Caenorhabditis elegans: one gene and its partners. The protein of the gene in region 1 interacts with the protein of each later gene in a pairwise test. Each region holds a gene or a part of one and is shown on either strand. Other genes may lie near its edges. The genes, in order: frm-1, tofu-4 and C26C6.8.

Evidence for each region.
Region 2: the proteins of frm-1 (region 1) and tofu-4 interact in a two-hybrid assay, tested with the Caenorhabditis elegans proteins (one large-scale study listed by BioGRID).
Region 3: the proteins of frm-1 (region 1) and C26C6.8 interact in a two-hybrid assay, tested with the Caenorhabditis elegans proteins (one large-scale study listed by BioGRID).

The regions. Positions count from the first base shown.
Region 1 is NC_003279.8:14,895,639-14,899,393, reverse strand, and holds the start of frm-1 (Moesin/ezrin/radixin homolog 1), read left to right. Parts: upstream 1-2,031; coding exon 2,032-2,157; intron 2,158-2,211; coding exon 2,212-2,362; intron 2,363-2,609; exon of another isoform or gene 2,610-2,831; intron 2,832-3,003; coding exon 3,004-3,401; intron 3,402-3,755.
Region 2 is NC_003279.8:4,824,773-4,828,527, forward strand, and holds tofu-4 (Twenty One u-rna (21U-RNA) biogenesis Fouled Up), read right to left. Parts: upstream 1,868-3,755; 5' UTR 1,862-1,867; coding exon 1,562-1,861; intron 1,517-1,561; coding exon 1,343-1,516; intron 1,295-1,342; coding exon 1,187-1,294; intron 1,143-1,186; coding exon 910-1,142; intron 866-909; coding exon 749-865; intron 704-748; coding exon 397-703; 3' UTR 132-396; downstream 1-131. Other genes in the region: F57C9.6 (G-protein coupled receptors family 1 profile domain-containing protein), read left to right, coding at 1-39; htp-3 (HORMA domain-containing protein), read left to right, coding at 2,307-2,363, 2,414-2,567, 2,617-2,720, 2,765-2,877, 2,923-3,074, 3,124-3,217, 3,265-3,449, 3,494-3,755.
Region 3 is NC_003279.8:7,504,013-7,507,767, reverse strand, and holds the start of C26C6.8 (SH3 domain-containing protein), read left to right. Parts: upstream 1-2,125; 5' UTR 2,126-2,187; coding exon 2,188-2,230; intron 2,231-2,303; coding exon 2,304-2,395; intron 2,396-2,449; coding exon 2,450-2,602; intron 2,603-2,970; coding exon 2,971-3,084; intron 3,085-3,132; coding exon 3,133-3,353; intron 3,354-3,755. Other genes in the region: C26C6.6 (LIM zinc-binding domain-containing protein), read right to left, coding at 1,122-1,300, 1,460-1,559, 1,620-1,685, 1,731-1,796.

The DNA of each region.
Region 1 (3,755 bases):
TTTTTATGCTCTTTGTGAGGGACGGACATACGGTGACCAAGGGCATAGTGTCAGAACCAAGAGGAACCATCTGTTTGGAGATGTTTTGAAATTTTGTTTTGGCAATGCTGGGCATTTTTCACTTCTGGTAACGGTTTTGCATTGGGTAGTTTGAAGTTCGGAGCAGTGGTTGGTGGCAATTACAACTGGGCCGTTCAAATTTTCGATAATTCGATAATTTCCTCAATTTTTGAGATTTGGCAGTTGTTATCTATTGCCAAATATTTTTAATTTCCAAAGGTCAAACAAGGAGGGGCGATGTTGACTGTCTCTAAAGCTAGTCATAACTAGGTCTGTGAAACAGCGGAAGGAAACTTTCCAAAAAATTAATTGCCTCCAATAATTCTCTCATCGGCAACATTGTCAATCTACAAGCTGGTTCAACAATAAAAACTGTTTGTTCTCTCTCTTCTTTGCTATTGCGAAAAATTGTCTCATTGCAACACCTCTCTCGCCTTCATCTTTTCTGCCTCCGAATTCCCACTACTGTGATTGACTGAGATGAAAAGAATAGAATGAAACAGTGTAATAAACTAAACGTTTTTGTTTTTTTTTTCTGCTGTTTTGTGGCCAACACAACGCCTGTTGGTTTCGTCTTCTTCATCCTGATGGCGGTGGCGAGAATAAGAGAGGAGAGCAACAAATAGCACAGAAATAGCAACAGTTGTGTGTGCACCTCTGCTATCAATTGAAGCTCTCCGTAAGCATTATTTTTTGCTGTTTTGATATATTGGAATTCTTTTGAAACTATGTGAACAATTTTTTATTGTGATATTTGCCAATAATGTGTATTTTGGGTCTTGTAGCGACCAACATGACTGACAATGAGAAAATTACTCTATCGAAAACTTCTAATTAAAAATACTAATCGTGATTTCACTTTATCAAGTTCACAAGCTTTTTAGAAACGTGTAATAAACGCCTCAAGAATGTATTCGGTTGGGTCTCGCCACGATAAAAAATTGTGGTAGCAATTTTCTATTTATTCGGGATTTCGTGAGCAATTTTTGTAATCATCACTTTAATTTTTTCTCGATGTTTTCCTATTTTTTCCTGAACTAAAAAATACGAATTACTTATTGAAAAGCTAACGAAAATCAAGGAAAATCGTTAAAAACTAATAAATTCCTGAAAAAAATAAAAATTTCCACCATAAACGTTTTCGTCGCGGCGAGACCCACTCGAACATAACTATGCGCCTTTAAGTTTACTGTAGACAAATTTTGTCCGTTTTTTCGATGTTTTCCTCTATTTTTTTCTATTTTCCTACCATTTATTGTATTTTAATTAAAAAGTAATTAAAAAGCTAAAAAATTAACTTATTCCCTGCAAACTTTCGACACGAAATCTTCATTTCTCAAAAATTAGTGTTATTCGCGCTGCGAATCCACATTTTCCACTTTTTCACGTTCTCTGGCATTTATAAATTTGTTTTTGTTTTTCAGAAGATAAAAACGTAAAAATTCACGTTATAAATTCCCATTAAAATCGTCAAAGCCAAAATTTTGAATTCGTATTTATTTCTAGTAAAAAAAAAGTATTCTTCAACTTTGAATGTAAATTTAGTTAACTCTTCCACTGTTTTTCTCCAATACTCTTTCTTTTTTCATTTCCACCTTCAAATGATCCTAATATTTCATGTTTTCTCACCACAATCTGCGGGTACCGGAGAAAAGGTGTAATTTTTCTTTATTGTCCTTCTCTACTATGCCTCCCAGAATTTATTGCGTTTTTTATGCCGGGCATTGGCTACTTTTTCTCCCAACAACACCAATTCATCCCTTCTGTCTTTTTTTTTCGCAGAAAAACAGAACAAAATGTGGCATTTCGAATAGAGCGCGTTTGCATTACTCCCCCCCCTCCTCCCTGTCGGCCGGGCAATTCAAATTTTAACACTTTCTTTTGCTCTATAAACTTTTAAAACTTCTATTTTCAATGAAAGTTGCAGTTTTTTTTCTAATTTTTATTAATTTCCTCCACATTTCAGAGCAAATGGGTACCGATAGAGATCCCGGAGACCAGAAACACCCAACGACTAGCCAGCAGCCACGAGATTCGAAAATGCAGTTGGCAAAAGTTCTTCTTCCCGACGGAGTTCAAAAGGAGTTTGAGGTTAATGTAAGTTTTTGAAGAATTTCACCGGAAAAACTGCTAAATTCTAAATTTTTACAGAAAAACTCGGAAGGAGAAGCACTTTTCCGACAAGTGACACGAGATCTATCGATTGAGGAACGCGAATACTTCTCGCTGTGCTTCTACGACAAAGATGAGGGAACACGACATTGGCTATATAATGATAAGAATATTGCGAAACAGATTAAAGGTAAAAATGAGAAAAAAAAGAAAATTTTGGTTAAAAATGTGGATTTTCTTCACAAAAAGCTAATTTCCCCCGCTTTTTCAAAAAAAAAAAACTGCCTTGAAATTTTTGGAAAGCTGTTTCAAGTAAATAAAAATATTTCTCTTATTCGGAAAAGAAATTGAATCGATTTCATGTCCAAAGTTGTATTAATTTTCCTTTTTTTTTGTAAATTCCCTGATGAATTACAAGAATCTAGGAATATTATCCTTAAAAATATAATAAAAAACTCTAACCCGCGGCCACGTGTCGATTTACGCAGCTCGTGTATTCCTCGAAGAAAAATAGTTTTTCTACATTTTTCGCAAAGTTTTCTCAAATCTTCTGTGTATTTCAAAGAAAATCGAAAAATCTGATAATTTTAATTTTGAAATCGAGTCTTTTTTAAAAGTTTACTGATTTTTTATAGAGCGAAAGCGGAAAATATTGAAAGTTGGAATTTTTGTTTCAAAAAAAAAAATTAGTCTGAAAAACATCGAAATCTCGAACAATTTTCAACCAAAAACTGCGTAAATCAACACATGGCCGTGTAAGAGGTTTCCCGCGGCCACCTATTTCATTTTCTTTTTTAAATCAATTTTTCAACCAACTGTCAAATTTTGCAGGTCTTCCTTGGGAATTCTCGTTCGAGGTCAAATTCTACCCGACCACACCTACAACGATCGTCGACGATCACGCTCGCTACTACGTCTTCCTTCAACTCAGACGTGATCTCCTCACCGGACGTCTTCCAGCTACTGCCGACACACATTCTCTTCTCGGATCGTTTGTCGCTCAAATCGAGTTCGGTGATGCTCCAGCAGAGATGACGGATGCCTACGAGCAGTTCATTGTGGCGTCCAAGCTGGTGCCATCAGCACAAGCGAATCCGGAAACATACAAGAAGATTGTCGATTTGCACAGAGAGATGCGCGGACAGACGCCTTCTGAAGCTGAAAATCAATTTTTGGATCACTGCAAGCACCTGGCTCTCTACGGAATCCACCTTTTCAAGGCAATCTCCGTATGTTTTTCGACAAAAAAAGGTTCCTGCTCGAGTACTCCACTAGGAAAATATTTTTTCTTAAATTAACATCTAAACTTCTATCATTTTCTTCTTTTAGTGCTCATTCTTCAAGTCCTTAATTTTGAAGAAATATTTTTAGTGGTTTATGAAAAAAATAGTAGTATTTACTTTTGTCTAAAATAATTAATTTGTTAAGTATTCTCTTTCAATTTATCAGCTTGGTGATTTTTAAGCTAATTTTGAAATTTCCGCCAATTTCTTGAGGGTGATCAAATTTTATTCACTGAAAAGTGTTTGGCAAATTGAAAAACGGTGTTTTAACTTAAAAATAAAAAGAAAATCAGGAAAACT
Region 2 (3,755 bases), about 10 Mb from region 1:
GATGTATTCAAGCGTCACAGTCAACCGACTGATATTTAATAACTTATTTCTTCCATCTCCATTAATGTTTTGTATCAAATTTTTCTGGTCGCTCCCAAGAATCTCATCGCTATTTTTCTATGAAACTTGATTTTCAAAATTTAAAAAAAGTTTTATTAAAAAAAAAAACATCTTACTAGAAAAGAAACAAAGAACGTATATAAAGTGTCGAACGATTGCGAAAAAGCTAAATATTACAGAAAATGTTTGGTCAAATACGGGAAAAAACGATAGATTATATTCTCACGATATAAATAAATTTGAGATTTGAGATTCTCAAACAACAGCTAGATGCTCTAAAATTTGAAACAAACAGAGAATAATTAAAACAATAATGTGACTCGGATAAAAATTCTTTTAGAATTCTGCGTCTACCATCAGATAGTCGAAGTCTTCTTCCTCCTTTATGGTTCCCTCGTCGCATTGACTAGTCAGGTCAGGAAGGCTGTACTGATCAATAGTCGACGGCTGCTCCGATGTACTTTCCACGTTTGTGTAGTCGATTGGAACATCTACATGTCCGAGCGATTTCTGCTTAATCCTTTCGCGAATTTCCTTCATCAGTTTGGAGTCTCTTTCCTGCTTTTTTGAATTTGCGACATTATTCAGGAACTTGATGGAAGACTCGTGAGCATTGAATGTGGATTGGAAGAAGACGAGATGGCTGAAAAATATTCTTAATCAATATATATGGTTTTAAAATACTCACGTAAATGGTTCCTGCCATAATAATTCGTCCGGATATTTGATGTCGTTCTTGTCAATAAATCCTGAATGTTGATTTTGAATTGAAGATCGACTGTATCCATGAACGGACTTTGGAGCACTGAAAACATAATATTTATTCATGATATTTCTCTTAACAATTACTTGTAGCTCGCGATCTTCTCCGAAAAAGGGTTCATATTTAGTTCGACGGCCTGTGCCACTTGCTCTTTAGAGTTTCTTGTTTGGTAGAAAGAAAATGAATGCGAAATAATATCCGCTTCATCCTCATCGGAATTGATTTCGTCTCTTTTTGTTGATCTGATTCCGATACCCATCCTTCTCATTGCTTTCCAATCGACTTCAGGATCGTCTTGTTTGATGTCACTTGTCAAAGACTGAAAAATTATTGCAAATATTTAAATTATAAATTCTTACACACCTTCAGAGTCAATCCTTGCTCAGCAAAAGTGTCACAGGTGTAATCATCTGCAAGTTCCAGGTCCGGTCTCTTGATGCGACGTCTTTTAGGGACTCCTTGAGGTCTGGTCTGCAAGAAATCATTTCTAAATTTCAACAACTAGCATTAAAATCCCACCATTTTTCTTCTATACAGTCGCCTTCTTCGTTGCTTCGGCATCGCTTGTGGTTCGTACTCACAAACCACGTCTTCAGTGTCTGAGACTTCCCCATCTAACGCTTTCTTTTTCTTTTTGAGAATCCTGTCGTTCTTCAACCCACGAGCAATTTTCTGCTCTAATTCTCGGACAATCTTAAAGAAGTTAAATCGATAAAAATTTTTTAAAAGGCAGCATACGCGTTCATCCGGTCGCTCGCCTTCGGAACTTTCTGCAGCATCCACCATCGAACTCTTGTGAGTCTCCACAACGTATTCATCATCACTCTCCTCGTCGCTGCTGCTACTGTGATCATCGTCGTATTCATTTTCTGAAAAACTCTTGTTGTCAGTGCCATCTGCCGATGCGGGCGGTACTTCGATCTCCAACGGATCCTCTACAATTTCTGTTTCAGGAATTCGTGATTTCTTCTCGGGCTGGTTCACTCCCGAAGATTCCGCATTTGCTCTTTTTGATGCGCTTCTCGTCGTCGGTTTCATCTGAAATTAATGTCTCATTATTAAATATAGAAGCTTAAAAACACAATAAATGAATAAGTAAAAAACGTTTATTTAAATTTTAAGTGCTTTCATCTGTTCTTTGCACATTTCAAAGCGGTTTCTAGACTCAAAATACATAGAGATATGCTCAGATTTTAATAAACTACAATTTTAAAACTTCAAAATATGAGAAATTCTCTTGAAAGTGCATTTTAAGTAGAAAATGAACGGAAAAAAATTGAAATATAAAAGAAAAAACTTAAAGGTGCATGACATTTCTTCCATGGGTCTCGACACGAGAACACAACATGTTGACCTGAGTTACGGTAAACTTCGGTTGAAATTAGTTATTTTATGTCAAATTATTCATTTATTTTTCAGTTTTTTCTCATTTTCAATTAGTTTTTAATTAAAAAAAATGTTTTAAAATATTTTAAGTGTCAAAATGGACGAAAGCTTCGACTCTTCTGTTGTCCCTGGCTCTCTGACGAGTGATGACAGGGTGAGTAGATTTGACAGAGTTTTTTTTGTCGAGAAAACGAAAATTTTCAGGCTATATTCAACGAGCAAACATTGAAAAATGGTGATGAAAATTCGAAAAGCTCTCTTGAAGTGATGGCCAACTGCGTTTATCTTGCAAACTCAACAATTCTCCGTGAACGGAAAGTTATTCCTGCGGAATACTTCCAGGATTTTCAAGTTTATGGTGAGGTTTTATCTATCTGACTTGCAATTAAGCATGAATTATTTTATAGGAGATGTCAGCGGATATACTTTGCGACAAGACATTCCAGAAGGACGGAGTGTGTCTTCGAAGCTTTTGGCGTCTCATGACGCGATCCGTCAGAAACTCCTTCAGGTACAGTTTTACTCTCGTAAGTGGTAAAAATTCATTGTTTGCAGAAACTCGCTATTGTCGTTGAAGAGTCACTAAACACGAATCCCGTGGAAACGTTTGTCTGGACCTTTGTCTATGACTCAACCACATCTGCAAGTGCCGAAATCGGATACGGAGGGTTAGATCATTTATCTAAATATAAATTTCACTGACTCTTTTCCAGGCGTAAATCTAAATTTGTGGTGAATTATTTAAACATGGATGATACTGCTCAACAGTTTTGCAAGATGTTCAGCGAGCTTAGAAATGTTCTAAGCCTGCTCCGTCCGCTACCAAGAGGCCTCATTCCATCGATGAAAGTAGCATACAGAGGAGGTAAGGTTAAAAATATTTAATTTAAATCATAAATAAATTATTGTTTTAGAACCGGAATTCGTTCCCGGATTTCAACAAGTCGACGATTTTGTGAATCCTGAGCAGATCAATCTTGGTGCTGTTAGTTTTCCTCACGGCAATGGGTTTGTTCGTCATTTCAATCATCAAATTCTTAATTAAATTGATTCAGATTTCAATTCGCATATGCCTCGAAATTCATGGTTGAACAGCCTTCAGCCATTCGTCCACCAGTGGAAGTTTCTCATTTTGAAGATGATTTGCTCAACTCAACGATCACACCGATCGAAGTTGTTCGAGATAACACAATGAATTGTGCTGAGAATCCTGAACTTGACGAAATCTATTTTTCACCAGGTGCGTTTTGTCGAGAAAAAAAATTAATTTTCTAATGTTTATAGGTCGTCAAGAAGTACGTATGGACGAAGATGTGGCAAACGAATCAATTCGTTGTAATCCAAGTATGGCCAGTGAAATGATGGTTCTGCAGTCCGAATATAATGTATTGATTGCTGATAATGATGAAGTTCCAATGGTTGTTGAAAGGGAACGTTCTCCAATAGTGAAAGCTGCAAAGAAACGTTCAACGAGAGCTCCCGCTGTCCCGATAACTCCAACGGAACCGGCTTCTCCCGTGGAGTCCCCGGTGAAAGAGCAACCTCA
Region 3 (3,755 bases), 7.4 Mb from region 1:
TTCTATAGTTAACTTCAGTACAAAAATCGTATTTTAAAGTGTAGCTTTATGCTCAAAATATATTAAAGGTGGAGTGTCGCCAGTGTGGAATGTTCGGAATCACTCCTATTTGAAGCAAAGCATGGCAAAAAATTTTAGAATTCTTTTTTATTTACAGTCGATTATAATTGCGGAAGTAGCCCGAAAAAAAAACAAAATTTCCTACGTTTTTGGGTTTAATAATATTTAGTTAATTGTGTTTAAAAATTTCAATGTTGTGTAGTTTAACATTTCCTCACTCAACAGTGTTCAATATTTAAAAAAAATTTTGCAAGGAAAATTGGAAATATGCCAAAACTTCATCTGAAACAAAAGTTAAATGTTTAGTTTCTCTGTAAAAACGTAAAAATGACAAATATTGAAATAGTGAATTGAGACTTGAGAAGACTTTTAGATTTCAAAAAGATTTCAAGACTATTACACAAAAAAAAATCAGACAGAAACAAAAAACAAAAAAAAATTATTAAAAGATTGACACTGACATGTTTAAAAAGTCACAAAACATTTTCGAGTACGTAGTTACTCGAAAAAGAAAACTAAGATCTATATGACGTCATTTTGATCTGACACAGGTGACACATCTCATCCATCCCGTAGCTCTTCTCCCACAGAAACATTTTGTGGTGTGAAGTTACTAGATGCACACTTTACTACTTGAATGGAGGAGGTTAAATGATGAAAGAACAGAAGGATGCTCATTATGATTGTGATGTTTCAAATATTATAATTATTGTTTCACTTTTGCAAGTTCTATAAATTGATTGAAAAATTGACAAAACTCTGGATTCAGAAATTGCATTTTTCAAAATGTGTAAAATTTCAAAAATCGTGTTATAAATTTTAAAAAAGTCCAATGTTTCTGATAAAAAAATGTTTTAATTAGATGAAACACTGAAATTGTTCAGTTTTTGTCAGTGAACAAGAGAAATCACAGAAAAATTGTTCCGAAAGGGACTACTTTACTCCCTATTTGTCTTGAAATCTCTCAAAAATCAGTATCTTAGAAATTATAGTTAACCCACAAAAATACACTTTAAACCGTTCAAAATCTATTCATTATTTTTTCAAATAAGTTCAATATGTTATAGAACATCTTTGATATGAAGCATATAACAAACGTCATCATAAAACATCATATCACGTTCATAAAATCCTTTTCTTTGAGGAATTGTCTTGTTACAGATTGCACAACGGAAACAATCAATATGAAAGAGACGATTAAATGCAACAAGTCCTCGTTCAATTACTGGCAATGAGCATCCTGTAAAATTTGTTTTTTAAGTAATCGTAAGGGGCTCTAATCTTTCCTATATGTAGCTGAGTAATCAAAGTTCGTATAACCCGTGCAAAACCGAATTCACAAGCCATATCATTCAATTTTTAATTTCTACTAATCAGTACTTCGAAGAACTAAAAATACCTGTGCAAGATGGATGATTTGTTTGAATATGACATGCATAACATGATGGTTTCATTGGATCAATTGATGAACGGAAATAACGATTGTCCGAGATTTGAAGCTAAAATTGGATATTTTGAAATTTTGGAAGTGCTTTTTTCCGAACGCTTCCAAAACTAACTTTACAAAAAATGCATTGAATATGATCCCGATGCCACATTCGATTCAGAAAGAAGACAACTTTGTTCTAAAAATTACTTTTTTAAAGGAAATACACCAATTGTGGATTTACCTTTTCGACATCCTCCTCGGCGATTTTGGCTTTACATCCTGCACAATTGATAAACTCAATAGTCATTTTTCTAGTTTATTTGGAAATAAATTATTTTTTATTAAAATTGTATTCTTCGCCTCCGAATTTGTATTTAGTAAGCGGTTGCCACGTAACTGGTATTAAAATTTATTGGTTTTTAATTGAAAACTTCCAAACAAGATACAAAAGTTTATGCATCTCTGCATGGTAATCTCCAAAATACATAAAATATCACAGATTCCTTATTTCTAGGGCAAAATAAGCCATTATACTGAAGCCAAATAATACTGTCCGCCTTTCATGCCTTTCCCTCCCGAGACTCCATCTTTTTTTCCAATCAGATCCAATTTTCGGTGAACAAACAATAATTTGACATGCCTCTGTTGATTAACCGTGTTTTGTGAGCAATTCATTGGCTTTTCGTCGCACAAAAACAATGGGCATTAGGAGCATTTTTTGGAAAGTTGTATCTGGAAGAGGTGAGCACAGTTTGTCCCATTTTTTTTCTAATTTTAGCTGATTAAAAATAAAACCTCCAAAAATGAATTTCAGTGCCCGATAATGGTGGATGGGTTGACAGTATGCAAGTGGATCATTTTGATCCTTATACTCCAGGACAACTAACAAAAAACTTCACAGCAACTGTATAGTTTTCAGTTTTTCCAAATTACCCCAATTTCTAACCTCTCACTTTTAAGGTTGCTGACGAAATTAGTGTAACCCGTGGCACTACAGTTAAAGCAATTTATCGAGATGATCAATGGATTTATGTTGAGGTATCTGATGGAAGAAAAGGATTTGTTCCACAGACATATTGTAAATTGCTTTTGAATTCAAAACACGGTGAAAAGGTGAGCGTTTTAGATGTTCTAGAAAAGTTATTTTTAGTGCAAATCTTAAAGAATGCAACAACACGTGTAATTGTGGCATTTAATGATATTCATTTAAAACTACTGTATCCGGTCTCGACACGACCGAAATATGCGCAAAAGAATGTGCGCCTTGCGAATTACTGTAACCACACTCCTAATTATTTCCAATATTTCATAGATATTTCATAGTTTTGTCATTGAAAAATCGAAGAAAAGTGGTGAAAATCATTGTCACCTTTAGTGAGAACAACTTAGAAGCCACGTGATGTCAGAGAGTCCCATTTCGGTTTGATCTCCAAGAATTTCGGGAATGGAACCGTTGAGAAATCAAATCAAATACTTTTCAGAAAAAGGTGATCGGATCCAGCGCGACACTTGATCGCCGTTGGGAAAAATCAAATTTGCAGAGATTTATCGACAGTCTTCCTGTTCAAAAAGAAGAAGGAGAGGTTTTTAAAATGGTTTGTTTTGAATAAAGCTATTGAATATTCTTTTGATACTATCTGCAGGATGAGATATGCGAAGTTCAAATACTACAGTCATTTGATGGATCAGCTCCAGATGATATATCTGTGAAAGATGGAGAATCTGTCACAGTTTTGAATATATCAGATCCTGAGTGGACCTATATTCGAAATTCGGACAATCAATCTGGTTTTGTACCTTCTTCCCATGTTAAGATTCCACATGAAATATTGCAACAAGCTAGCCGTGTCATTAAAGAAAAATGGTATCGTAAGTTCGCAGTTTTCTGAAACGCTTAAAGGTGTACGGACTTATTCAGATGGGTCATGGGTGTTATTCTGTTTTTTTTTTCAGAATTAAAAGACTCAGAAGACGCGAAAATTTGTTATTTTTGCGCCAAAAATACAGTACCCGGTCTCGACACGATAACAATTTTGTTAAGTGTGAAAACGTGTGCGCCTTTAAAGACTACTGTAATGTAAATACAACTTTTCGTGCTCATAGTTTTTCTCACGATTAGTAAAATAAAATATATGTGTTTTGTGGTTTTTTAAAATAAATAAATACATTTTTTAACGGAGAATTATGAAAAATCTATGCAAATTCCTCAACAACGAAAGTTTGAAGCTACAGTACCCTTTAAAGGCGCACATCCGTTTACATTTGA